7 linked regions of the Canis lupus familiaris genome follow. The protein of the gene in region 7 purifies or fractionates together with the protein of the main gene of each other region. This does not show direct contact. Links are inferred from orthologs where the notes say so. Each region holds a gene or a part of one and is shown on either strand. Other genes may lie near its edges.

Evidence for each region.
Region 1: the proteins of CTBP1 (region 7) and MECOM purify together in Homo sapiens (affinity purification with mass spectrometry; 6 studies listed by BioGRID and IntAct, counting the BioPlex papers as one, with this or other methods). This does not show direct contact. The link is inferred for Canis lupus familiaris from reciprocal best matches to the Homo sapiens genes CTBP1 and MECOM.
Region 2: the proteins of CTBP1 (region 7) and ZNF217 purify together in Homo sapiens (affinity purification with mass spectrometry; 10 studies listed by BioGRID and IntAct, counting the BioPlex papers as one, with this or other methods). This does not show direct contact. The link is inferred for Canis lupus familiaris from reciprocal best matches to the Homo sapiens genes CTBP1 and ZNF217.
Region 3: the proteins of CTBP1 (region 7) and ZBTB18 purify together in Homo sapiens (affinity purification with mass spectrometry; 3 studies listed by BioGRID and IntAct, counting the BioPlex papers as one, with this or other methods). This does not show direct contact. The link is inferred for Canis lupus familiaris from reciprocal best matches to the Homo sapiens genes CTBP1 and ZBTB18.
Region 4: the proteins of CTBP1 (region 7) and EHMT2 purify together in Homo sapiens (affinity purification with mass spectrometry; 4 studies listed by BioGRID and IntAct, counting the BioPlex papers as one, with this or other methods). This does not show direct contact. The link is inferred for Canis lupus familiaris from reciprocal best matches to the Homo sapiens genes CTBP1 and EHMT2.
Region 5: the proteins of CTBP1 (region 7) and WDCP purify together in Homo sapiens (affinity purification with mass spectrometry; 3 studies listed by BioGRID and IntAct, counting the BioPlex papers as one, with this or other methods). This does not show direct contact. The link is inferred for Canis lupus familiaris from reciprocal best matches to the Homo sapiens genes CTBP1 and WDCP.
Region 6: the proteins of CTBP1 (region 7) and CHD4 purify together in Homo sapiens (affinity purification with mass spectrometry; 3 studies listed by BioGRID and IntAct, with this or other methods). This does not show direct contact. The link is inferred for Canis lupus familiaris from reciprocal best matches to the Homo sapiens genes CTBP1 and CHD4.

The regions. Positions count from the first base shown.
Region 1 is NC_049255.1:34,038,822-34,042,321, forward strand, and holds part of MECOM (histone-lysine N-methyltransferase MECOM), read right to left. Parts: intron 3,167-3,500; coding exon 3,019-3,166; intron 1,692-3,018; coding exon 1,535-1,691; intron 1-1,534.
Region 2 is NC_049245.1:40,079,178-40,082,677, reverse strand, and holds part of ZNF217 (zinc finger protein 217), read left to right. Parts: intron 1-52; coding exon 53-423; intron 424-461; coding exon 462-981; intron 982-2,512; coding exon 2,513-2,622; 3' UTR 2,623-2,635; intron 2,636-3,500.
Region 3 is NC_049228.1:35,073,739-35,076,204, forward strand, and holds the end of ZBTB18 (zinc finger and BTB domain-containing protein 18), read left to right. Parts: coding exon 1-1,063; 3' UTR 1,064-1,966; downstream 1,967-2,466.
Region 4 is NC_049233.1:1,484,577-1,488,736, forward strand, and holds the start of EHMT2 (histone-lysine N-methyltransferase EHMT2), read right to left. Parts: upstream 2,801-4,160; 5' UTR 2,786-2,800; coding exon 2,506-2,785; intron 2,411-2,505; coding exon 2,192-2,410; intron 2,093-2,191; coding exon 1,842-2,092; intron 927-1,841; coding exon 842-926; intron 745-841; coding exon 704-744; intron 584-703; coding exon 428-583; intron 1-427. UniProt on the Homo sapiens protein: Histone methyltransferase that specifically mono- and dimethylates 'Lys-9' of histone H3 (H3K9me1 and H3K9me2, respectively) in euchromatin.
Region 5 is NC_049238.1:18,573,364-18,575,914, forward strand, and holds the end of WDCP (WD repeat and coiled-coil-containing protein), read right to left. Parts: intron 2,368-2,551; coding exon 2,240-2,367; 3' UTR 501-2,239; downstream 1-500.
Region 6 is NC_049248.1:7,660,347-7,663,846, forward strand, and holds part of CHD4 (chromodomain-helicase-DNA-binding protein 4), read right to left. Parts: coding exon 3,357-3,500; intron 3,267-3,356; coding exon 3,178-3,266; intron 3,075-3,177; coding exon 2,941-3,074; intron 2,621-2,940; coding exon 2,476-2,620; intron 2,363-2,475; coding exon 2,197-2,362; intron 2,143-2,196; exon of another isoform or gene 2,003-2,142; intron 1,917-2,002; coding exon 1,819-1,916; intron 1,710-1,818; coding exon 1,580-1,709; intron 1,190-1,579; coding exon 1,118-1,189; intron 815-1,117; coding exon 677-814; intron 418-676; coding exon 309-417; intron 198-308; coding exon 65-197; intron 1-64. UniProt on the Homo sapiens protein: ATP-dependent chromatin-remodeling factor that binds and distorts nucleosomal DNA. Acts as a component of the histone deacetylase NuRD complex which participates in the remodeling of chromatin.
Region 7 is NC_049224.1:92,002,343-92,005,733, reverse strand, and holds part of CTBP1 (C-terminal-binding protein 1), read right to left. Parts: intron 2,470-3,391; coding exon 2,263-2,469; intron 841-2,262; coding exon 626-840; intron 1-625. UniProt on the Homo sapiens protein: Corepressor targeting diverse transcription regulators such as GLIS2 or BCL6. Has dehydrogenase activity. Involved in controlling the equilibrium between tubular and stacked structures in the Golgi complex.

The sequences.
Region 1 (3,500 bases), on a different chromosome or scaffold from region 7:
GATAGGAATCTACAATTTCTGACTTTTGGTTTAAGTAATAGAGAAAGCGTTAAAAGGGTGATCATAATTTGTTTGGCCTATTTTTTTTCCACCCAAACACAATAAATGTATCAAGGTCTGTTTCTGAGAAATCAGAAATAAATGAGTAATTTATGCCCGTAACCCTTTGCAAGTACATTTTTTTAGGGGCGTTACGACCTAGAGTCAGAAATGCTTTTATGAGACAAGAAGTCTAAAATTTCTATTGTATGCTTTATTTCCCGTGACTTTCAACAGAGCTTCCCCAAGGGAGACCAGAGCACCCTTTTGTTTATCAGCTAGTCCTCTTCACTCCACCCAGGGAACAGAGGAACATAAGAGCAAAACAAGACTCTAGTGTAAGCTGGAAAAAATAGCCCCCCTGGTGCTCGGAAGCACAAAAGAGGGCTGTGTGGAGGTAAAAAGGAGGCAGGCTAATCTGTGGCATCTCCATGCTGGCACTCAAAATTATTTTTTGCCCATCAGGTCCTGTAGTAGTGTCTCGTACGCCTACTACAAACTATTGCATTATTCGTCAAAAAAAAAAAAATGTTTTGTAAGGGTTCCCAAATCAGAGGTTTTGCCAACCATGGTGTGTGCTTCAATCACTTCTGTGTTTGGATCCAAAATCAGTCTTGAAGTTGGTAGCACAACTCAGTGAGTCACTGTGTTTGTATGCCCTGCTGAGCAATGGATCAAAAGAAGTCCAGAGTCGTTGCCCAGATGGAGAAAACAACTGCACGATACAGGGGACGGGAGTTGGTGGACAGAAGAAGCAAATGGACAGAGTTTTCCTTTATGTGGAGTAGGTTACTGAAGTGCTCTGTACAGGGACGTTCTAAGTAGGTGGTCAGACTGGGTGTCCTCTGAACATGCACTGCCTGTAAATCTGCTCTAGTGCAGGGAGGGAGCTATGGAAGCAGCAGGTCCCGCATCAAAATGAAAATGTTCTGCTTTTCAAGTCCCCAAGGACTACCGACTGGCAGCCTGTGATTGGTAAAAATCTGTAGATTAAGGGCAAGTTTATCTGCCCCCCTCTCCTCACACACACTCACACACACACACACACACACACGTGCACATAAGCCCACTTGCCAAGTGGGGTACACTCCCAGTCCTTTCTGACCCAGAACAGGTTTTTATCACTTCATCTTATTTAGTGGCATCTGCCATTTGCAGTTTCACAAAGCCATGACCATTTCCAGTGGGAGACAAGTCTGGTTGTCTCTATTAAATCCTACAACCTGGGGAGGCTTCCCTTCCATTATTTAATGACTTCTCCTTTCTCTGCTCATTATTGATTGCATCTAAAAGAAAACACCCTGGGGATTATGGACAAAATACCATGGATCTGAGTGTAAAATATTTTCTTGTAACAGAAAATAGCCCTACTGGATTGGACCATAAATAGCTAATGCCCAGACCCTTCTACGGCCATGCGGCCACACTCCTCATCACAATGCCTTTTGGACGAGAGAAGGATGCAGGAAGGAGGGCTGGAGTGTTAAAAACTTACAGATAAAGGGCTTCACACTGCTGTGGATGTGCTTGTGTTGTTTGAGGCCCGACGAAGTGGCAAACGTTTTGCCACACTCCGGGCACGCGTGGGCCCGGGCACCAACATGCTGAGAGCGGATGTGCCGCTGAAGGTTGCTAGGGTCCGTGAAAACCTGCTAGGAAATGAGTACTGATTAATCAAGAAACTTAATTCCAGGACACAAGAAAGAAGACCAGGAATGACTCAAGAAGGAATTTGGTTTATTTGTTTTGGTTTTGTTTATTTGTTGCTCCCTCAAGACCAAAAGAAAAGTCATCTTTCCAAAGCGTGCACTTCTCTAGGCTAGGGAGGGACCGTAAATGATTCAGCTCTGGGTCCTCAGCATGAAATGTCCATCAGTATCAGCCGAACAAAATAATTTATGGCACTATTAGACCACATTCAAGGTCTTTTTGATCCCATTCGGAATAATTAGAGTTGAATCATAAAACGCCAGCCTAGACATTATTAAAACTGGTGTGCTATTTTCATCCTCTAAACCAAGACACACCATGTACAAAACTGGGGGGAGTTTACTAAAGTATCTTACGTCTACTCAAGGAGTCCCCTCAGGAGTTAATGTTCACCCTGTGTTTCAGCAAATTACAATGAAGCTAAAACCATTCCTTTAAACATTGTATTAAGAAAGAAAGAAAGAAAGAAAGAAAGAAAGAAAGAAAGAAAGAAAGAAAGAAGAAAAGAAAGAAAGGAAAAGAACAAGTCACCCACACTTCAAAACATCTCTAAAGATAATTTCAAATACCACAATTTCCACTGTCATGAAGAAAGCTCTTCAAATGCTATGAAAAGGTTTTGGAAATAGGAATCAACTTTAATGACATTAGGGCATCTTCTAGTTAATTGAGAACCATGAAAATTACATGATATGAACTACTGTTTTCACATTGTAGAGTCGTGGTCAAGGTGGAGTGCTTTCGCTGCACCCTTATGCTGTTTAGCAGTGGCCACTAAGGCACTACGTTTTTAATTAGAACCAAGTCATGATTTATGGTGGGGCCTTGGGTGGAAAAATCTGCAAATGTAGGAGTCTCCTATTCTTTCTGAATAGGCATTCAGAAACTTTATGTGACTTCCTCACAAATTGCTATTAAAAGAAATCAGTAAATGTGCGTTGGATAAAATTTTCATTCTCCATAAGGCTATAAAACAACCCCACACTGGCAAGCCAGTAGCGGAACCAGGAATTTACCAAGGATGTCTGACACCTAGTTCTGGAACTCACCATTAAGCCTCACTTCCTCCCTTACAAAAATAAAAGGATACCCACTAAGTGTTTTTATACACTGTACTAATGCCTTTTAGCATACAACACTCAGTCTACTTTTCTCAAGATATTTATAGTTTCCCCTCTCAAGGCTTGTTTTTATATATCATAGCAAGTGATGGATTAAGAGAGAGCAGGATGACAGAGAGAGGCCAAGTAGTCTACAAATTCACTGTACCTTGGCACAGTTTTCACATTCATAGTGCTTTCCACTGTCATGTGACATCTGGTGGCGAATTAAATTGGACTTCCAGTTAAATGCCTTGGGACACTGATCGCACTTGTATTCCCTCTCTTCTGTATGTGACAACATGTGTTTCTCCAGGCTGTTAAGAGAACAATTGATTTAATAAGCCATGGTGACAAAGAACACATTCATAAACAGAATGTCATTTTATTAGTAATCCAACTGGCAATTAAAGAAATAAGAAGGAAGAGTCGTTGAGGTGAGGAAGATGAAGAAGAAGAAACAGGCCTGCAAATGAACAAAAAAACATGTATTTCTCCTAGACCGTGACTCTCACTAACACAGAGAAGAACCCCTGTGGTTAGAACATAAATCTTATACAGCTATCGGGGGTTAGCTGCCAATTTAGGGCCACGGTCAATGACTAGTTATTTGTCCAGTTATTTGTCCAGTTCTGAATCCACTACACCATT
Region 2 (3,500 bases), on a different chromosome or scaffold from region 7:
GCGGCCCACGGCGCGGCCCTCGGTGCGGCCCACGGCGCGGCCCTCGGTGCAGCCCACGGCGCGGTCCTCGGCGCGGATCCGGGCGCCCGGGAGCAGCCGGCGGGGACGGCGGCCGACGGCAGGCACCTGCCCGGCGCGGACTGTCAGGAGAAGCCCCTGAACCTGTCCCTCGGGGCTCTTCACGGCTGCCCGGCCATCTCTCTGAGCAAGAGTTTAATCCCAGGGATCACCTGCCCGTTTTGTACCTTCAAGACCTTTTATCCGGAGGTTCTGATGATGCACCAGAGACTGGAGCATAAGTACAACCCCGACATCCACAAAAACTGCCGGAGCAAGTCGGCGCTGCGCAGTCGGCGCACCGGCTGCCCGCCCGCGCTGCTGGGCAAGGACGTGGCCCCGCTGGCGCACTGCCCCCGGCCCCGGGCCCGGCCCGCCCCCGCGCCCGCGCCCGCCCCGCGCAGCCCGCCAAGGCCGCGCCCGCCGACCGCGACCGTGACCGCGACCGCGACCGCGGGAAGCCGGGCCCCGCCGCGCCCGCCAGGCCCCCGCCGCCGGGCCTCGACCCCAGCACTTTAGCGCCCAGCAACCTGAAGGCGCCGCGGCCCGGGGGGGCGCCGGGGGCCGCCCGGCCTGCAGAGCCCGTGCACGTGGAGCGCGGCCGCAGGCCCGACGCCAGGCCCCGGGCGCCCCCCGCCAGCGCCGCCGCCAACGGCTGCGCCGAGCGCCCCTGGGCCCCGCGGGGCCGCGACCCCCCGAGCGGCCGCCCCGCCGAGCCCGGGGAGCCCCTGGCCAAGCGGCCGCGGCCCGACGCCGAGCCGCCCGCGCCCGCCTTCCGCCGCGCGCTGGAGCTGCCCAAGTACCAGGTGGTGCGCGGCCTGCCCGCGCTGCTGCCCGCCGAGTGCGTGTGCCCGCCGCCCGCCGCACTGCCGCCCAAGGCCCGCGCCACACCCGCGCCGCTCTTCTGCGGGCCCGCGGCGGAAGGTGAGCCCGGGGCCGGGGCGGGGGCGTGCTGTGCGGGTTCCCTGCTCCCCGAGCCGGACCTCGGCTTCTGGTCCTCCTCCAAGTTTGGGGCGATCGGGTCCTCGCGGGCAGGTGTATCACCCGTGAGCCCCCAGGAGCAGGTGCGCCACCCGGTGAACCACCAGGGGCAGGTGCGCCACCCGGTGAGCCCCCAGGAGCAGGTGCACAAGCCAGTGAGCCCCCACGAGCCAGTGCACCACCCGGTGAGCCCCCAGGAGCAGGTGCGCCACCCGGTGAACCACCAGGGGCAGGTGCGCCACCCGGTGAGCCCCCATGGGCAGGTGCGCCACCCAGTGAGCTCCCAGGGGCAGGCGCTCTCCGCACACCAGGGACAGAAAGCCTACGAACCCCAGTGCATGGCTTCTGAATGGTTTTGATAACTAGGATTTTCGGCTCTTGCTGCCTTATTTAGCATTTGTTAAACGCCAAGTGCATCGTAAAAGGCACTCCTTTCCCCTAAATGGATAGATTGTTTAAGTCGTGGATTTACTTTGGAGTTCTCCCCATGGAAATGTTTTCAAAACCCCAGCTTCCTCCTGGCCGCGGTCCCTTAGGGGTGCATGGTGCGTACCTGTGCACATAAAGAGGTAGATCAGAGTGTCCTGGGGACCTGGCCCACTTGGCAAACTTGATTAAACCACTTCCTTTGTCAGATATAAGTCTTGCTGGTTTGTGCAGCCCCAAGGAGAAATCCATTTTAAGCCTCTCAGTTTGTATTAATTTCAAATTAAGGGTTCTGTGTGGTGACAATACTCTTATCAAGGATAGCTTGATGCCATTTGATCGGGTAGGGATAGCAAATTAAAAAACAATTGCTTTCACACACTCCAGTGAATTTCATAAAAATTGTGATGAAATATTAATTTTTGCAGCCTTTTGATTAAAGCAGCCTATTTTTCTCCCTACCAGCTCTTAAAACGGATAGGCGTCAAAACTTTGCCTTTAATTGAAGAGTCTGGGCTCTGTGTTAGAAGCAAAATCCTTTTTTACTTTTTAAAGATTTATTTTTAAGTAATCTACACCCAACATGGGGCTTGAACTCACAGCCCTGAGTTTGAGAATTGCTCATTCCACCAAATGAGCCAGCCAGGTGCCCCATAAAAATCCTTTTCTGAGAAAAGTATTTTTTCTCCTCTTCCCCACAGTTTTGGTTTATGGTGTATATAAGTTTAAAATATTTTATGCTACCATTTTTTGGGGCTTTTTTTTTTTCTGTGCCTAAACCCTGGATCTTAACTTTATAGTTCTTATTAGTGACAGCATAGTACTTAGATCTGTTTTAGCTTTAGTGACTTACAATTTTGTGCTAGCACATGTCCTCAGGGCACTTAAAAACATTTTACTTGTAACTTTGCAACATGAATGCAACTGGTGTGTTCTGATCACATTACCAGTCAGGAATTGTGAAAATTGAACCTCTGACAACCCATATACATCTTCCCAGTTGTTGGACTTAATTCTAAAGACCTTTCCACATTTTTTTCCCCAACAGGAAAAAGGCCTGTGTCGTATCAACACTTGTCTAGCAGCATGCTACAAAAGAGAAACTATGAGAATTTTATTGGGAATGCACATTATCGGCCAAATGACAAAAAAACTTGATTTACTATTTCGGGTAAGAAAGGTGAACGCATATATGATGTATTGATTTTATCTGATTGAAAACAAACCATCTGGCTTATCCAGTAGGATATAAAGTAAAATTACTTTTAATTTTATTTATTTTCAAGATTTGTTTAATTATTTTGGAGAGTGAGAGCGCAGTGGGGGGAGGGGCAGAGGGAGAGGGAGAAAGACTCTCGGCAGAGCCCTGAGATATGACCTGAGCCAAATCCAGGAGTTGGAATGCTTAATGGTGCCACCCAGGTGCACCTAATTTTAATTTTAAAGTGTTTTATTTAAAATTTTTTATTTTTTAAAACATTTTATTTATTTGAGAGAGGGAGAGAGAGAGACAGCAAGAGTAGGGGCAGCAGGAGAGGGAGAAGCAGACTCCCCGCTGACCAGGGAGCCCAATGTGGGGCTCGATCCTGGGACCCTGAGATCGTGACCTGAGCTGAAAGCAGACACTTAACCCACTGAGCCACCCAGGCACCCCAGGTTTGAAGTGTTTTAAAACTTTGAGTGCTCAGGGTCTGTATCAGTGATGATGATTATATTAATAATAGTAATAGAGACTGGAATTTACTAAGCATTTATTTTATGCTCAGTCTTGAAGTATTTTATAATCATGACCTCACTTAATCCTTTCCACGGCAGGGGGCATCAGGCCAGGGATTAGCAAACTGCCCTCCACCTGTTTCTGTCTATAAAGTTTTAACTGGCTGTCAGCCATGTCCATTCCTTTATGTATTGTTGATGGCTGCTTCTGTGCCACATTAGCAGAGCTCTGGGTAGTTGTGACAGGGAGCACACGGCCTGCAAAGCTGAAAATATTTACACTCTGGCCCCTTGGAGAAAATGTTTGCTGACCTCTGGGT
Region 3 (2,466 bases), on a different chromosome or scaffold from region 7:
CCTGCCCAGCAAAAGGGACTTGGCGGCCGAGCCCGGGAACATGTGGATGCGCTTGCCCTCCGACTCGGCAGGCATCCCCCCGGCAGGCGGGGAGGCCGAGCCACACGCCACAGCAGCTGGAAAAACAGTCGCCAGCCCCTGCAGCTCCACAGAGTCTTTGTCCCAGAGGTCTGTCACCTCCGTGAGGGATTCGGCAGATGTTGACTGTGTGCTGGACCTGTCTGTCAAGTCCAGCCTTTCGGGAGTTGAAAATCTGAACAGCTCTTATTTCTCTTCACAGGACGTGCTGAGAAGCAACCTGGTGCAGGTGAAGGTGGAGAAAGAGGCTTCCTGTGAGGAGAGCGAGGTTGGCACTAATGACTATGACATGGAACATAGCGCTGTGAAAGAGAGTGTGAGCACTAACGCCAGGGTACAGTATGAGCCGGCCCACCTGGCTCCGCTGAGGGAGGACTCGGTCTTGAGGGAGCTCGAGCGCGACGACAAAGCCAGCGACGACGAGATGATGACCCCGGACGCTGAGCGCGGCCCGGTGGAGGGCGGCATGGAGAGCAGCCTGCTGCCCTACGTGTCCAACATCCTGAGCCCGGCCGGCCAGATCTTCATGTGCCCGCTGTGCAACAAGGTCTTCCCCAGCCCACACATCCTGCAGATCCACCTGAGCACGCACTTCCGCGAGCAGGACGGGCTACGCAGCAAGCCGGCCGCCGACGTCAACGTGCCCACCTGCTCGCTGTGTGGCAAGACTTTCTCGTGCATGTACACGCTCAAGCGCCACGAGAGGACTCACTCGGGCGAGAAGCCCTACACGTGCACGCAGTGCGGCAAGAGCTTCCAGTACTCGCACAACCTGAGCCGCCACGCCGTGGTGCACACGCGCGAGAAGCCGCACGCCTGCAAGTGGTGCGAGCGCAGGTTCACGCAGTCCGGGGACCTGTACAGACACATCCGCAAGTTCCACTGTGAGTTGGTGAACTCCTTGTCTGTCAAAAGCGAAGCCCTGAGCTTGCCCACTGTCAGAGACTGGACCTTAGAAGATAGCTCTCAAGAACTCTGGAAATAATTTTATATATATATAAATAATATATATATATACATATATATACATAGATCTCTATCTAGTTGTGGTACGGTCTAAAAGCAGCCTTGTTTCCTGGAACTAAAACGTCGGGGTGTTAACTCGGTTTTGCACTTTAGAGTAGCATGAGACTCTCACTAATTTAGCATTCTGGTAAAAGAGACTTTCGAGCAAGTCGGAGACTAGAGAGGGCTTTTTCTTTCGAGGGGGTAGGGGAAGGAAGCCAATAAGAACCTTGGAAACAACTCGTCCTATCACAAGATGCTTTCACAGGGCTTAATTTTGTCGACACTGCATTGTCTTCTGAGCGCTCTCTCTCTCTCTCTCTCTCTCTCTCTCTTTTTCCACTTTGTTTTGGTTTTGTGTTTTTGTTTTGTTTTGGTTTTGTTTGGGTTTTTGTTTTTTCCTTTTCAGAGTAGAAATTCCCTCCAGTTTTCTTAGCCTCTTTATATGTCACAAATTGCATGAATCTTTTCTGGCTGTTGGAAACCTGAATGCTTTTAGACCCAAATGGAAAATTTCTGAAATGCTGGATTATCTATTTTTAAACAAGCAGTTGACTTAAAACTTTCTGTGGCAACTTCTGGTTTTCTGACGGTTCCCAATGAGAGAAATTCTGAAAGTACACTGGGATCACTGGGACGCTGTCTTTGTGAAGGTTTGCTTGGGATGAAAAAGGATATTGCAGCTTCAGCAGTGTTGAACTGTGTGTTGAAAAATGTGAATTACTGTTCTTGTATACTGTAACTGATTACACGGGCTGGGGGGGGTGTCAAAGAACTTGACAGGTTGTGTTGATGCTCTTAGTTGAGTCTTGAAAAGTAAATATTAACGCTACAGAAATGCATGAGTTTCAATATATTTTTTGTCTTTGTTTGCATTGTATAACTTTAACGAGTGAGTTTAAAATTATTTAATTTCCTTAGAAAAAAAATAGCACCGTTTGGGGAAAAAAACTGGTGTTATGAAGAACGTAAATGCACTGTTTTTATTTTTATTTTATATAATTTAAATTGACTTTCCCACTGTCCTTAAGTTGAAACTGTTAAGCTGAATAAAAACTTAAGCTGCAAATTGATAACTTCGCTACATAACAAGGAAAATATAAATGTTTACAAACGGCTTAAAGATTTGCATGTGCAGTGTGCATTTATAACAAACTTCTAATTGCACAAAACCCATGCCAGCTCAAAAGTTTAGGTGTACACATTTACCCAGTTGAGCATTTTTAGAGTAACTACTGCACAAATTGACAATAGGTCATTCTCTCTCTTTTTTTTTTTTTTTTTTTTGGGATTTTTTTTGGGGGCTCCCCTTCTCTTTTTCTTCCTTCTCCCTCACCCACCCACCCTCCCTCCCTCCCTCCCTCCCTCTCTCCCTCCCCTTCA
Region 4 (4,160 bases), on a different chromosome or scaffold from region 7:
AACAAAATGGGGGCAGCCGGGGTAGCTCAGCGATTTAGCGCCACCTTTGGCCCAGGGCATGATCCTGGAGATCTGGGATCGAGTCCACATTGGGCTCCTGCGTGGAGCCTGCTTCTCCCTCTACCTGTGTCTCTGCCTCTCTGTGTGTCTCTCTCACGAATAAATAAATTAAATCTTAAAAACAAAAAAAAAACCCAAAACCAAAATGGGATGCTAAACCCAAAGTCCAGGATGGTGGTTACCACAATGGAGAGGGGCGAGGGGCCGGGCTGGGGTGGAACACACAAAGGGAGGAAGTTACAGAGAGGATGGGAAGGTGAATTAGGGGGTGTCACAAGGTAAAAAGGAAAGAGAGACAAAGGGGGTGGGTGGGTGGGAAAGACTGGAGAGTGAGCCTTGGCAGAGAGGTAGGCTGGCTCCTTCTCACCTTGCTGTCAGAGTCCACACGCTCATCCACAGAGTAGGAGTCGTAGTAGAGGCTGAAGTCATCCCCCACCACTGTCTCCCACTCCTCCAGGGACCCTGGGTCCCCTTTCTCCATGGTCACTTCTCCTGAACCCCGTGCAGAACCCAACTCCTCCGACTAGGAAAAGATCAGAAAAATGGAAGCTGCTGGTACTTCCCTTCCCAACCATTTCCCTTGAGGGCAGGATGCAGCCCCCCCCAGGTGGAGAGGCCTTGTCTTCAGCCTCTCTAGGCTCACCAGGCCACCTCCAGAGTTCAGCTTCCTCCTTTTGGCCACATCTGGAAGGAGAGAGAGAAAGGAATAAGGCTGGTTCTTCGACCCTCCGGACAAGATTTATCAGGTGGCAGGTGGGTGGGGTGTGGGGGTGGCGCTGACCTGAGGTCATCTTCCCCAGCGAGTGCAAGTCATCACTCATGCGGAAATGCTGCACTTCAGGGGGCCGCTTCTCTGGGACAGGAGGCTAGTGGCAGAGAGGGAGCACACTTTAGGGTCAGGGAGCATTTGCATTCAGTCAAGGGTGAGCCACACCCTCAAAAATGTCACCTGAAGCTCCAGTAAGCCAGAATGTGGCAATCACAAGAAGTGCTGTCTCTCGAGAAGAAGGGTATGAGGCACATTCCACACCTAACACTCACCTTTTCACTCACCCGAAGGAGCGGGCCCTCTTTACCCATTTTACAGATGAGAAAATAGGTTTGTGCCTTGCCCAAAGCTACCTAAACCATACCCAAACCCCCAAAAACACTGTCACAAAGCTTCTGAAATTCTGGGGCTTTTTGTCCTTTCCCTCACCCTCCTTCCCTGTAGGGAGTCACAGTAAAATCCTTAGAAGCCCTTTGAAAAAGGAAGCAGGGGGAGTTTCAAAGGGAGGGAAAAAGCTCCCTTGGGGCTTGCTTTGAGGTAGAAAGCAAGTTAGAAGTTCCTTAGTCATTATCATAAGAATAATTGGGACAATTAACTACAACAGTAATCCTCTAACCTTTTTTTATTTTTAAAGATTTTACTTATTTATTCCTGAGAGACAAAAAGAGGCAGCAACAGAGGCAGAGAAGCAGGCTCCCTGATGTGGGACTAGATCCAGGATCATGACCCGAGCCAGATGCTTAAACCACTGAACCACCCAAGTGCCCCTCTAACCTTTTTTACAACTCCCCTCTCCCCAAGAATATAAACTTGTCTGTCTGTTCAGATCAAGCCCAGCCCAGAATCTGACACACAGTAGCCCCTAGGTAAGTATGGCGAGCCCTGAAGGGATGAGAAAAAGTCTGAAGCTAAACTGTAAAAAAAAAAAAAAAAAAAAAAAAAAAAAGTCCACAAGGGGTACACAGTGGGTTACCTGGGTCTCCCCACCTCCACCCCTCCCCCTCATTCTCACCTGCCCATTTCCTGGTTTGGACATGGTTTTTCTGGCTCGGTGGACCTTGGGCTGCCCCTCTGGGCTGGGTGTGGCTGCAGGGGGTTCAGGCCCCGCTGCTGCCCCCTGGGCTCCCGGCATACTCAGCAGCCGCATAGCCAAACTCTGGACTGAGGGGGGTGATTTTGCTGCGCCTGTCATTGACATCTTGGCGCGGCTGGGACAGGCACCCCCCTTGCTGGGGGAAGAGGGGAATGACTTTGTGGCATGGCCTGGAAGACAAATAGGCAGACAGAAACAAGGTAAGACGAGAGGTAATCAGAGGATACCCCCCCTCTGCCCCCCAGGCCCCTGACTCCCCAGCCTCTCACCCAGCAGGATTCGGCTCCCGTGGAGGTCCCCATCTCCCTCCAGATTCTCAGGTTCATCCCCAATGAGCGGTGTGGCTCCTAGGGGGGTGTCAGCCCCCTCATCACCCACGGTGACTGTGACAGAGGCTGGGGATGAGGGGCCAGCAGGCTCCAGGGAGTCAGGGCTGGACTTGGGCAGGGTCTCCTCACCACGAGGGGTGTCCCCCAAAGAGCCGTGAACTGTAAGGGGAAAGAAAAAGTTCAGGGCTAAGGTCTCGGGGAATCCTGTGTTGGGGGAGGTGAAGGTCCAGCTGGGCCTGTTCAGCCGCACTCACCTCTCTCAGAGGCTCCTCTGGGCTCCTTCTCCAGCACCAGCGCCCCCATCTCAGCAGGGGCCTCCCCCTGGCAGGGGACACAAGGTATAGGAGGGCTGGTCAGCCCGCTAGGAAGTTGGGGAGCCCAGGACGCCTGGGCTCTGGGAAGAGAGAGTAGGCTCCGGGGCCTACCTCTTCCTCGATGGGGGCCCCCCCGTCCGCGGCCTCGGCTGCCCTGGGGGGCCGCACGACCCCTCCCCCGGGCCCGCATCAGCCCCCTCCCTCTCGGCAGACCCCGCATCTCTGGGGCCTGGAAAAGAGGAGGGGGAGGGGGCGGGGCCTCTGCGCCCCGGCCCCGCCCCCTCCTCCCGGCTGCACGCGCCGCTCCCCCTTTGTCCCCCAGGCCGCGGGGACCCCGGGCACCAACCCCTCCAGCGCCCGCCGCTCCCCAGCCCGGCGGACGGCCCCTCGTGCCCCTCGCGCGCGCTCCTGGGGCCCCGGCTCCCGCTGCCCACTCGGGGGCAGCCGGCGGCTGCACGCGCGCCTCCGTGCCCACTCCCCCCACCTCCCACCCCCTGGTCCCCTCATCCGCCCCCGGTGCTGGCCCTCCGGATTGCTGTAGGTCTCGTCCGGGCCCCCCGGCCCCGTTGCACCCCCGGAGCATTGCACGGGCGCGCGCTTCCCCCGGGCGCGCGCGCGGGCATGCACCCGCCTCTCCCCCTCCCCTTCCGCACCTCGGCGGCCGCCGCCGCTGCAGCTCCCGCCGCCGCCGCCATCGCCGCTTGCGCGGGGGGCCGAGCCGGCGCGCGGCCGCCCCGGGTCACGTGGGCGGGGAGGGGGGGCGAGGAGGGGCCTTAAAGGAGCCACGGCGCGCTTTCTGGCCATCTCCCCCCACGCCGGGAGCGGCCTCGGCGGTGGCAGCGGCTGCCCTAAGCTGGGGGCTTCGGGGGCGCGTTCCCGCCGCTGCGGGCGTCGGCTGCGCGGGGAGCCGAAGGCGAGGCACGCCTGGCCGGGGTGGCCCCTCCGTGCCCCGCCTGTCCGTAGGTAACGAGAGCGGCGTCTGAGCGTCCCGGCTCGCGGCGGCTATCTTCCCGAGGAGGCCCGCGTCTGCTTCTCCCGCCTCGGTGCGCTCTAGTTTCTGGGTCTCCGGGTAGCAAGTGTCGGCCTCGCTTCTCCCCCGAGCAGGAAGGGGGCAGCGGGAACGCATGGAGGACACCGGTGCTCTCGACTGCTTCGTACCGGCAGGAGCAGCGTCCTCTCCTGAACCCGGGGCTCAGGGTCCCTTCTGTTTGAGCCGGGTATGCTAAGGCACCAAGTGCACCGGGGACCTGAGTAACCCCCAGAGGCTCCACAGTCATCACCGCCTGCTGAGTACACTATACTAAGGAGCCTTTTTTTGGTCGCAAGCCTAGGCATTCCGTGGGTCATAAGCCCAGTTGACAGAGGAAGTATGAATGATATTACACCGAGATAAAAACCTTGATAGCATTATTTAGGGTACCATCCCTTTGGGTATTATATTCTGGTCAAAGTTTGGAAAAAACCCTGTAAGATCTCACGCGCAGTATTTGGTAGAGGTCCGTGGTTTGGCTCCAGGGCACCTGAGGCCAATTCAAGGCCTTCTGGGAACTGTAGTTCTCTTTGGTTAAGAACTATTCAGAGCTTTGTGGGACTTG
Region 5 (2,551 bases), on a different chromosome or scaffold from region 7:
AGTGGTTGAGCGGCTGCCTTTGGCCTAGGGCGTGATCCTGGAATCGTGGGATCGAGTCCCACGTCGAGCTCCCTGCATGGAGCCTGCTTCTCCCTCTGCCTCTCTATGTCTCTCATGAATAAATAAAATATTTTAAAAATATATAAATATAAATAAATTAAGCCTTTATATGTATTGTGTGCATCAAATAATATACCCATACAAAATTCAGAAAAATTTGGGTACCAAATGAGATTTGTAAATAACGTCTTTCCTTATGCAAAATATTCTCAACAGAACATTAAACAATACTTAAAAGATTATAGCTCTTCTGTCCTTGTTTCCAAAGCCAGCAAATACTGGATTATCTTCTATAGCTCCAATGACTATAATAATAGCAGAGGCCAAGGAAATGTCTTTTGTATGAGAGTTGTCATGGAATCACATTTGTTGTAAAGAAATACCTAATTTATGTGCCAGACTGTCCACCAGAAGAAATACAGAGACAACGTACACAAACATAAAATCAAGAAATTGTCTTTATACGAGCGATAATCACAGAGAAAATAACATCAGAACATTCACAACGGCCACAACAACCATTAGTGATTTTATTGACTCATTCACAGGACTGACCAGGGAAATGGTGGCTATTACCTGTACCTTGAGGCACCCGCACTGATCTTACTGCCTGGTCCCCAGGCCCCTCAGGCTTTATAATAGTCTTTCATCTCGCCCAGACACTTCCTTTGCAGACAGAACCAGGCCTCAAGACTGTCCTCGGCCACTGCTCTCAAGCACCTGATTACAGACCAACGGCCTCCACTTCCATTATCCCAGCAGCTGCCTAATGCATCTGAACCACAAAATGTGCCCTCACTTCTTTCCTATTCCAGCTTCATCTTCATAAATGGTAACAGACAGACAGGAGTCCCCAAGGGTATGGAGTTGTTTTTTTTCCAGATAATTTTCAAGGAAAGGGGGCAAAAAGATGCATATGTGCTAATGGAACCTCAATGGCTGAAACAATTTATCTGCAGATGTACCCTGAGTAGCCACACACTCATCAATTTGTCATGATGCCGTCACTGAAATATATGATTCTGTTCGAGAAATGGCATGTCTATCTGAAGTTGCAATCAGGGCTCTTTCCACTTTACTAACTCGGCACTTTTGCCCATAATTATAATAAGTTGGTACTTTTAACTTACCTCAGATTGAGTGAAATTTCCAATTCTCTGAACTATGTTCTCTCACAGACTATGCTGGTCTCTAAGACTTGAGAACATCAAAATTAAAGTGACAACTTAACTGAGGGAGCTAACTACTGGACAAAAATAGGACATTTTTATGATCCTAAAACTGGGGGGCGGGCATTCTAGGGAGAAAATCAGGAGTAGTGACAGCATGTAATCATGCCCTAGACCGCACCAGAGCTTGGCGTTGTACCGTTAACATAAGCACATCCTCAAGTAGGGTCCACAGGGGTCAAAGCACTTGATAGTTCATCTGAAATTTGCCTGGGGCTACTTTTTAGGAGTATCTGGACCTTGGTTAGCCAGAATTTTTTAAGGAAGCTGGTTGAGTTAGGTTTAGATCCTGGCAGGTCCAGCCCACATTAGAACAACTGCCTATTCTGGGGACAGAAGTCCACTTAATTTTTTTGTCTTCTTTTGAGCTCTGCTGATTCCTGCTGGTTTGAGTAAGGAGGATATGTTGGAGCATATGTTCTCCAGTACCTCTCATTATCATCTTTAAGCCAAGGAAATGATCTATAACAATGCTGAAGTACCTTTTAAGTGCTTCTAAGACAGCTTTAACAGTTTTGGGCAAGGGACAGAAAGCCTCAGAGAAACCATAAAACACAATCCATATGGCACCATAATACTGTTTTGTTCTGGGAATTTTGCCCTTAGACAAAATCACACAGTCACGAATACATAAACAACCACTTTTTGAGCCATCTAACAAAGACTGAGCTCTGCTCCAGAGCAGTGAGCTTCAGCCCGGGGTGGGGAAAAGGGAAAAACAGCCAACGGTGGCAGGTGCTTCCTCGCTGAGCGACAGCGCCAACCCCAGCTGAGGAGAGTCCCTGGCGGAAAAGAGACCTCGTCTGTAATGGCCTCATCTGAAAAGCTATGTATGCAGCAAATACTCCACAAATAAGTATCAGGCAGTGCTGCTTCAACGGGCAGGTCAGCCAGTGGCATCTGGACTCTGGACAGTCAGGTCTTTAAAGGCTTCAAGAGAAGGAGCAGGATTAAGACTCTGAGACAGAGTCTGTGAAGACATTTGTGCTGCCATCTCTGATGGTTATTTCCTGAGTGGCCGTGAAAGTTAATGGGATGAAGCCTTCGCTATCAGCACAGAGAAGGATCCAGTGTGAGTCTGCAAGGAAAATAAACATAGGCAATTTAGGGTATCTCATCTTATTCTATAAAGAAAAATAAGACAAAAATTTTTTTGAGGGTAGGAATAGAGTAGTTGATAATATTGAACTGATCATCATAAGACCAAGAAGAGGATGGGGAGACTGAAGGACAGTACTACGGAGGGTGAGGTTATACGGCAG
Region 6 (3,500 bases), on a different chromosome or scaffold from region 7:
TACAGTCCCTTCTGCATTTCAAAGGCTGTCACTTCAATACTATATTCCTCCCTATCCTGCTCACCTTGAACCTTCGGGCTAGAAACTTATTCTTGATCTCTAAGAAATTGCCACGATTCATTTCACCCTTGAAAGGTTCATTGAGGATGGCATAGCGTGGGTCATTCTGGATGTCCTGCCACCGGGCATAGCCATGGCTATTGGAAAATTGCTCAGGAAAAACAAAACAAGGAAAGCAGAAACTTCAAACAGTAGGACCTTCAGAACCCTTTACCAAGAACCTCAGCCCAGACTCCAGCAAAGGATACTTTATGATGCCAGCCAGCAGCCAGTAGTCGTGCCGCCGATGCCAAATCTCGTAAGTCTTCTTAGTGACTGTGGCTGCCCGCTCCTCATTCTGCCAAAGGGAGTGCAACTCTGAATAGGAATTTGGGGAAGGTGGAGAAGAACAAGAGAGGCAAATATCTGTAAGAATTCAAAAAGCTATTTATTCCTGGCCCACAGATGCCATCTTAGGAGTAGGCCTCTGGCTTTCTAACATAGAGTCAGAGGAATGTGCAATCAACTTGGCAGTCCCTTATCTGGTAGAGGTAAAATCTTTGTATCCTGGCCTCTGACAAGAACCCTACTTTCACTTCAGATCCTTCTAACCCCAGTTGGTCCCTCAATGTCATACCAGTAAAACCACCATCTGCAATATTGAACATGAAACGTTGTTTGATATTTTTTTTCTGCTTCTCATCATTCAGGTCCTTGGGGGTCTCTCCATTCTGAAGCATCACCTCTTTTTTCTCTTCTTCTTCTTTTTTCTCTTCTACAGGATATGCAGAAAAAAAATGTCAGCTCCAGACAAAAGCATAGCACCTTGGTCCTTACCCACAGCACTATATGCTCTAAGCATGCAGCCACCTTCACCCTTTCTCCACACAGGTATTTCTCAAACCCAGAAAAATGTCACTGGCCCGTGACAATCATATGTAGGGACAGTTGGGAGTCTTTTAGCTTGGGATTAAATAGTTATATGGGTGTGAGAAGCCAGGGGGTGTACCAGAGATAAAGTCCTTGCATCTAGTTTTAGAGTCCTTTTTAGTCACGATCAGCTTCTCCAAACACTCACCTTTGTCCTCTACCACAATGGGGGTCAGATCTACTGCTGACTTCTCTTCTACCTTCTCCACGTCAGCAACACCTGGGGGGAACAGATGGGATTTGAGAGTATATAAAGAACGTTCTGGGGTGCCTGGCTGGCTGTCGTTAGAGCATGCAACTCTTGATCTCGGGGTTGTGAGTTCGAGCCCCATGGTGGGTACAGGTTACTTAAAAATAAAATCTTTATAAGAAAATAAAAATAAAGAAGATTCTCCTCTGTCCCACACCAGTTAAGACTGGGGGACAGTCTTAACCCCAAATCTCAATGACTAACATCATAAAAAATGTCTTAAGGGATTAAAAACCCTCAATATAAAATCAAGGGTAGGGGATTCTCCAGGGTGTCACTTCCTCCTGACCTTTCCTTAGCCCAGCTAGAAGTACCTAAGTTTCACAGGGATCTGGATGTAATACTTGGAAATGTGGATACCTTTGGGCTCTGTCTCCATTGGTTCCTCTGTTCTCTCCTTCACCTCCGCCTTTTCTACTTTCTCCTCAACCTCAGGAGGTTCAACAAGGACTTTTTCATCCTCTGAGGCAGGGGCAGGGGGTTGTGTACACTTCAAAGGAAAAAGTACATAAGTTGAGGCAGACAGGCCAGCAACTGAAAAGATGAATGGGCTTCTTCATTTATCTTCCGTATGGCATCCGGTCACCCCCATCTCTTACCTCAACAGTGGCCTCCGGAGCTGTAGATTTAACCTCCTTTTCTCCTTCTACACTCTCTTCTTCTTTGAGGCTATTCTCCTCTATTTTTATCCCATCCTCTGCAGACCAATAGAAGGCAATTAATTAGGAAGAAAGTTCTAGATCAGAGAGAAGGTCATGCCTTCTCAGTTGGTCTTATCTTAAAATTGTCCTCTCGTGCCTTTAAGAGCCAGCCCTATTCTTAGGACGGCTCTCCTAAACTGAGAGGGAGATTGCTGTGTGTCCTGCCAGACTCCTCTGTCAGAGCTCAATACAAGGGAGCAGAAGAAACACTGGCAAGGACCAAAAAAAAAAAAAAGAAGAAGAACAGAAAAGGATAGACAGTACAGACAGACTTACCAGCAGGTGGAGCAGGTGCAGGGGTATTGGGTTGTGTGTCCCCCGGAGTGGAGGGTGTAGGAGTCTTTGGAGAAGGTGACCCTGGCTGGGACATTTTCTTATTTTCTTCTACTTCAGCAAGCTCAGGCATGCTCCAACGCCCATTGACATGTTCAAACTCCTGAACCTGTAGCAATGGGACAGGAAGGTGAAGACCAATTCCAGCTCTAGGCTCCTCTCCCGTTTGTCCTCTAGTTTCCCGTAGAAACTCTGAACAATGCAGAGAGGCTTAGGGCTCACCTTCTTTCGAATCAAGGACATGACACCAATCCTGGTAAGGACATGCTGGCGAGACAAGCCTTCTCGGGGGACACCATCAGCAAAGGTCTCAGCCCCATCTGCTCCTGGCTCACATAAATGTCGCATGAAAAGAGATACGTAAGCCCTGTAGCAAAGAAGTGAGAAAATGAGTTCAACAGCAATCAGGCCAACTCCTAGAGGAGATCTTTCCACCAAACAACTCTGGCTCCATCTTAAGATAAAGCTGCCATCACACTGAAGGCCAGTTCTCCAGAACCCACACCATGCCCCAGGTTCTCCTCTAGGGAAACTAGGAACACAAGGAACCCTATTATTAGTGGTTACACCCACCAACTTCAACAGAGGAACCTGCCTGTTTCCGTGTGCAGCCTTGACTAGTACCATGGAACCACCAGAGATCAGAAGTTTTTGCTCTACCATCAGTCATTCCAGCTCTCCACTTACTTGAACTCTTTCTCTGATTTGCCTCGCAGATCTCTCACAAGCCACTGGGTGGTAAAAGCATCCTGAGGTGGCATCCCATACCGCATAATTGCATTAAGAAAGGCTTTTCGCTGGCGAGCATTAAAGCCAAGTACCTAGAGGAAGGAGGAGCCTAAGTGAGAGGGAGTAGGCCTTACTCCATCGATGACCAAGTATCTAGCACTCACCCACCCCACCTTAGAACCAAATGGCACTTACTTCGATATTTCCACCAACACGAGCCAACAGAGGAGGCAATGGCTTATCTTTATCATTCCGCAGGCCCTTACGGCTGGGCCTGCGGGGAGCTGCAAGAAGAAAAGGATGTGTGAGTGATGCTGGTAGGGGTGTGAAACAAAGCAATATTTAAAAAGTCAGCAGAAAGGCATAGCTCTCACCTTCTGAACGTTCATCAAAGTCTTCATCACCTTCCTCTGAGGCCACTGAATAATCGGACTGGTTGTCGGACTGGTCGTCCTGCCAATCTGGAGGGAGAGAGGGCAGATGAGCGGGGCCCACTGCTCTAGTGGAACGGCCCATGG
Region 7 (3,391 bases):
GGGCAGACCCCGTGCGGGCACACACACACCCCCGCCGGGGACCCCGGAGCCCATGAGAGGCCACTGCTAGTTCCAGCTCCTGCCTGACCCAGGGCCACGCCTCACAGCCACGGTGTGACGCTGCCAGCCGCCATCTGTCTTTGCCCCGGAGACACGGCACTGAAGCGCCGCACGGGCACGCTCACTGCAGGACCCAGCCCGTCGGGTGCGGCGTGTGCCCTGTGTGTGGGGCCAGGAGCCCCCAGAACTCAGGAAACAGGCCCCTCAGTGCAGACGACCCCCAGCGGTGGAGCCCGCAGGGCAGGGAAAGGCACTTGCCGTGGGTCAAGAAACGGTGGCACGTGTAGAACTCCCACCATGACCCTAGCCGTGACCCTACCCTGACCTTAGCCGTGACCTACCCTGACCTTAGCCGTGACCCTACCCTGACCTTAGCTGTGACCTACCCTGATACTAGCCGTGACCCTACCCTGACCCTAGCTGTGATCCTACACTGACCTTAGCTGTGACCCTACCCTGACCCTAGCCGTGATCCTACCGTGACCCTACCCTGACCCTTGCCCCGACCTGGGGGTGCGGGTGTGGCAGGGCTGTGGACGGCGGGGGAGGCGGGGCAGGCGCGCACCTGCTTGACGGTGAAGTCGTTGATGAGGTGGTGGTTGTGCTCATTGAGCCCGCAGTGCAGGGTCACGCAGTCGCTGTGGAAGAGCAGGTCCTGCAGGGTGCTCACCCGCTGCAGCCCCAGCGCCCGCTCGGTGCCATCCGACAGGTAGGGGTCGTAGAAGAGCACGTTGAAACCGAAGGCCTTGGCCCGGAGCGCCACCGCCTGCCCCACGCGACCTGGCAGGGCGACACACCGCGTCACCGTGGGCCTAGCTCGGCGTGCAAGGCACAGCCCCGTGGGCGCCTGCATCCAGATGCCGAGTGCAGGGACACCCGCGTGGCCGTGTGGGGCCGGGACTCAGGGAGCGGGCGGGGGGCTGGAGGTGCTCCCCAGGGAGTGCGTGGGTGGGGCTGCCACTTCAGACGAGGGGCCCCGCTCCTTGGAGGGAGGGGGCCACAGGGGCTCAGAGCACCCCCGGGAGGAACGCACTGACCTGGACGCAGGACCAGCCTGCCCGGCCCCAACTCTCAGGGCCCCACCCCTCCTGCAGCCCCCGGGTGGCTGGAACGTCCCACGCACCTGAGGCGGCCCGAGCGGGCCGTGCGCACCGGAGGGCGTCCGCCAGAGGGGACCACCAGGCCCCAGGCCACAGCCCCGCCTGCAAGTGACCCCAGGTGAGGCCAGAGCACAGCAGTCCTGCCAATGCCACCCAAACTGCTAACCGGCGGCGTTGGGAGGTCAGGTAACAGCTGCCCCCGACATCCCGCACGGAGCGTCTGCCACGCAGCACGTGGGAACCCAAACTCCAAGCACCTTTAACATCCCCGAAGGGCGCCTGGGGGGGCGCACGCGACAGAGCACGCTCAGGGAGGAGTCTGGGATTCTCTCCCTCTGAGCTCCGCTGCTCGCGCTCTAAGTAGCCACAACCTTGAAGGGAGCAGTCGCTGGACGCACTGGACGGGGGCTCTGGCTAAGGCGCCGGCGCAGCCGCGCTGAAATGGGGCCTCCTGGCTCTTGACGACACTGCCGGCTGAGGTCAGGTGCCCCCCCACCCAGGGGAGGGGCACAGCGCCCCGGGGGGCCGTGCGTCCCCTCCAGCAAGGCGGGAGCTGTACCGAAGACAGGCCTGTGCCTCGTGGGCACCTTGCACTCACGCACGTGTGCGCCTGGCTCGAGAACACCCCAAGTGTCCTATGGTTCTCCTGTTGCAGAGCCGGTGGGGTAGGGGCGGGGAGGGCACGGGGGCCAGTAGGGGGCAGGGTCCTGTCCACACGGGGCCTCCCAGGTGGATGGAGCCCGAGCTCGGAGCGACACGCGCCCACACACAAGGCAGAGAAACAGAACTCACAGCTGCCCGCGCGCCGGGTGAGCAGCTCCCCCCGGAGCAGGGCTGAGGGCCACCTGGCCCTCACCTGAAGGCCACGTCCACTCAGCCACAGGGTGCCACAGGGTACGGGTGGGGGAGGCGTGTCAGCACAGGGAGCACAGGTCAGCGTGTGAGTGGGCGGGCACGACTGTGCAGAGGCACGTGACTGGTGAGCACCTGTGTGACCCACAGCCGGTGTTCCCGGGGCAGAGAGGACTCGGCCCTGCGCTGCCTCGGGGCGGGGGGGGGGGGGGCGCCCAGCAGCACAGCCACAGGGCTTCCGCTAACTCACCGAGTCCTATGATGCCCAAGGTCTCCCCGCGGATCCTGGCGGCGCCGGAAGCCACTTCCCGGATCTGCTCCACGCTCTGCACCCGCGTGCCTTCCCGCAGCGCCTGGTGCAGCCAAGTGGTCCTGCGGTACAGGTTGAGGATGTGGCACATGGTGGAGTCGGCGGTCTCCTCGACAGACGCCGCCGGCACGTTGCAGACAGCGATGCCTGGGAACACAGACGCGCGGGCGAGGTCACCAACGCCAGTCCTGGTGCTTCCCCCAAGACGGGCCGCAGAAACGTCCCCATGTAGGCCCGCCTGCGGGTCCAGCAAGTAGGCGGGACGGGACAGGCGAGGTCACCCAGGCAGGTGCCAACACCCGGGTCTCCCTGCCTGCACCATGAGCCACCTGACCGCCAGCTCACAGCCACGCAGGCCCCACCCCTCCTGCTTTCCTCGGCCCCCAGGCCATTTGGGACCTGGCTTTGGACGGAGTGGCCCTGTCCTCACAGCCCCACGGCCCCCACCGCCCCTCAGCAGCCCTGCGGAGTGAGCTGAGGCTTCTCTATGCCCAGCACCTCCGCGCTTCTACCCGCCTCTCCCGAGCCTGGCCCCTCCCGCCTACCTATCCTGCCCTGCCGCCTCCTCGCCCCTGCCCCTGTGACTGCACAGTGCTTCCCGGGGACTGGTCACCTCCCTGCCGAGGGGAGGGCGCCTACCGGTTCCTTGCGCTACCCTAAATGCCAGGATGATGCCCAACACGTGAACAGGGCTTTGTGAGAGGGCCCAGAGCGGATCCTCCACTCCCTTCTGGAAACATCTCAGCCCACCGTGAACACAAGAGATGAGGAGCAGGAGGACCAGGTGACAGGGACACCATCCCCTAGATCTGGGGACACACGGCCAGGGTGACCACAGGGCATGGCCCTGATTGTCCCTGGTAGAGGAACAGAGCCCAGCCTGTAGAATCACAAGACAGGACAGACTCGGGGAACAGGGATAAAGCCCCCCGGGAGTCCCCGGGGCAGAAAGCATCCAGGCTGTGGTCAACTCTGCTGCAGGGGCCTTTGCTGGGGATGCAGCCTGGGGACGGGTGACAGTGGGGCGGGAGGGCTCCATCATGTGAGCCAGCAGAGGGCACGAGGGTCC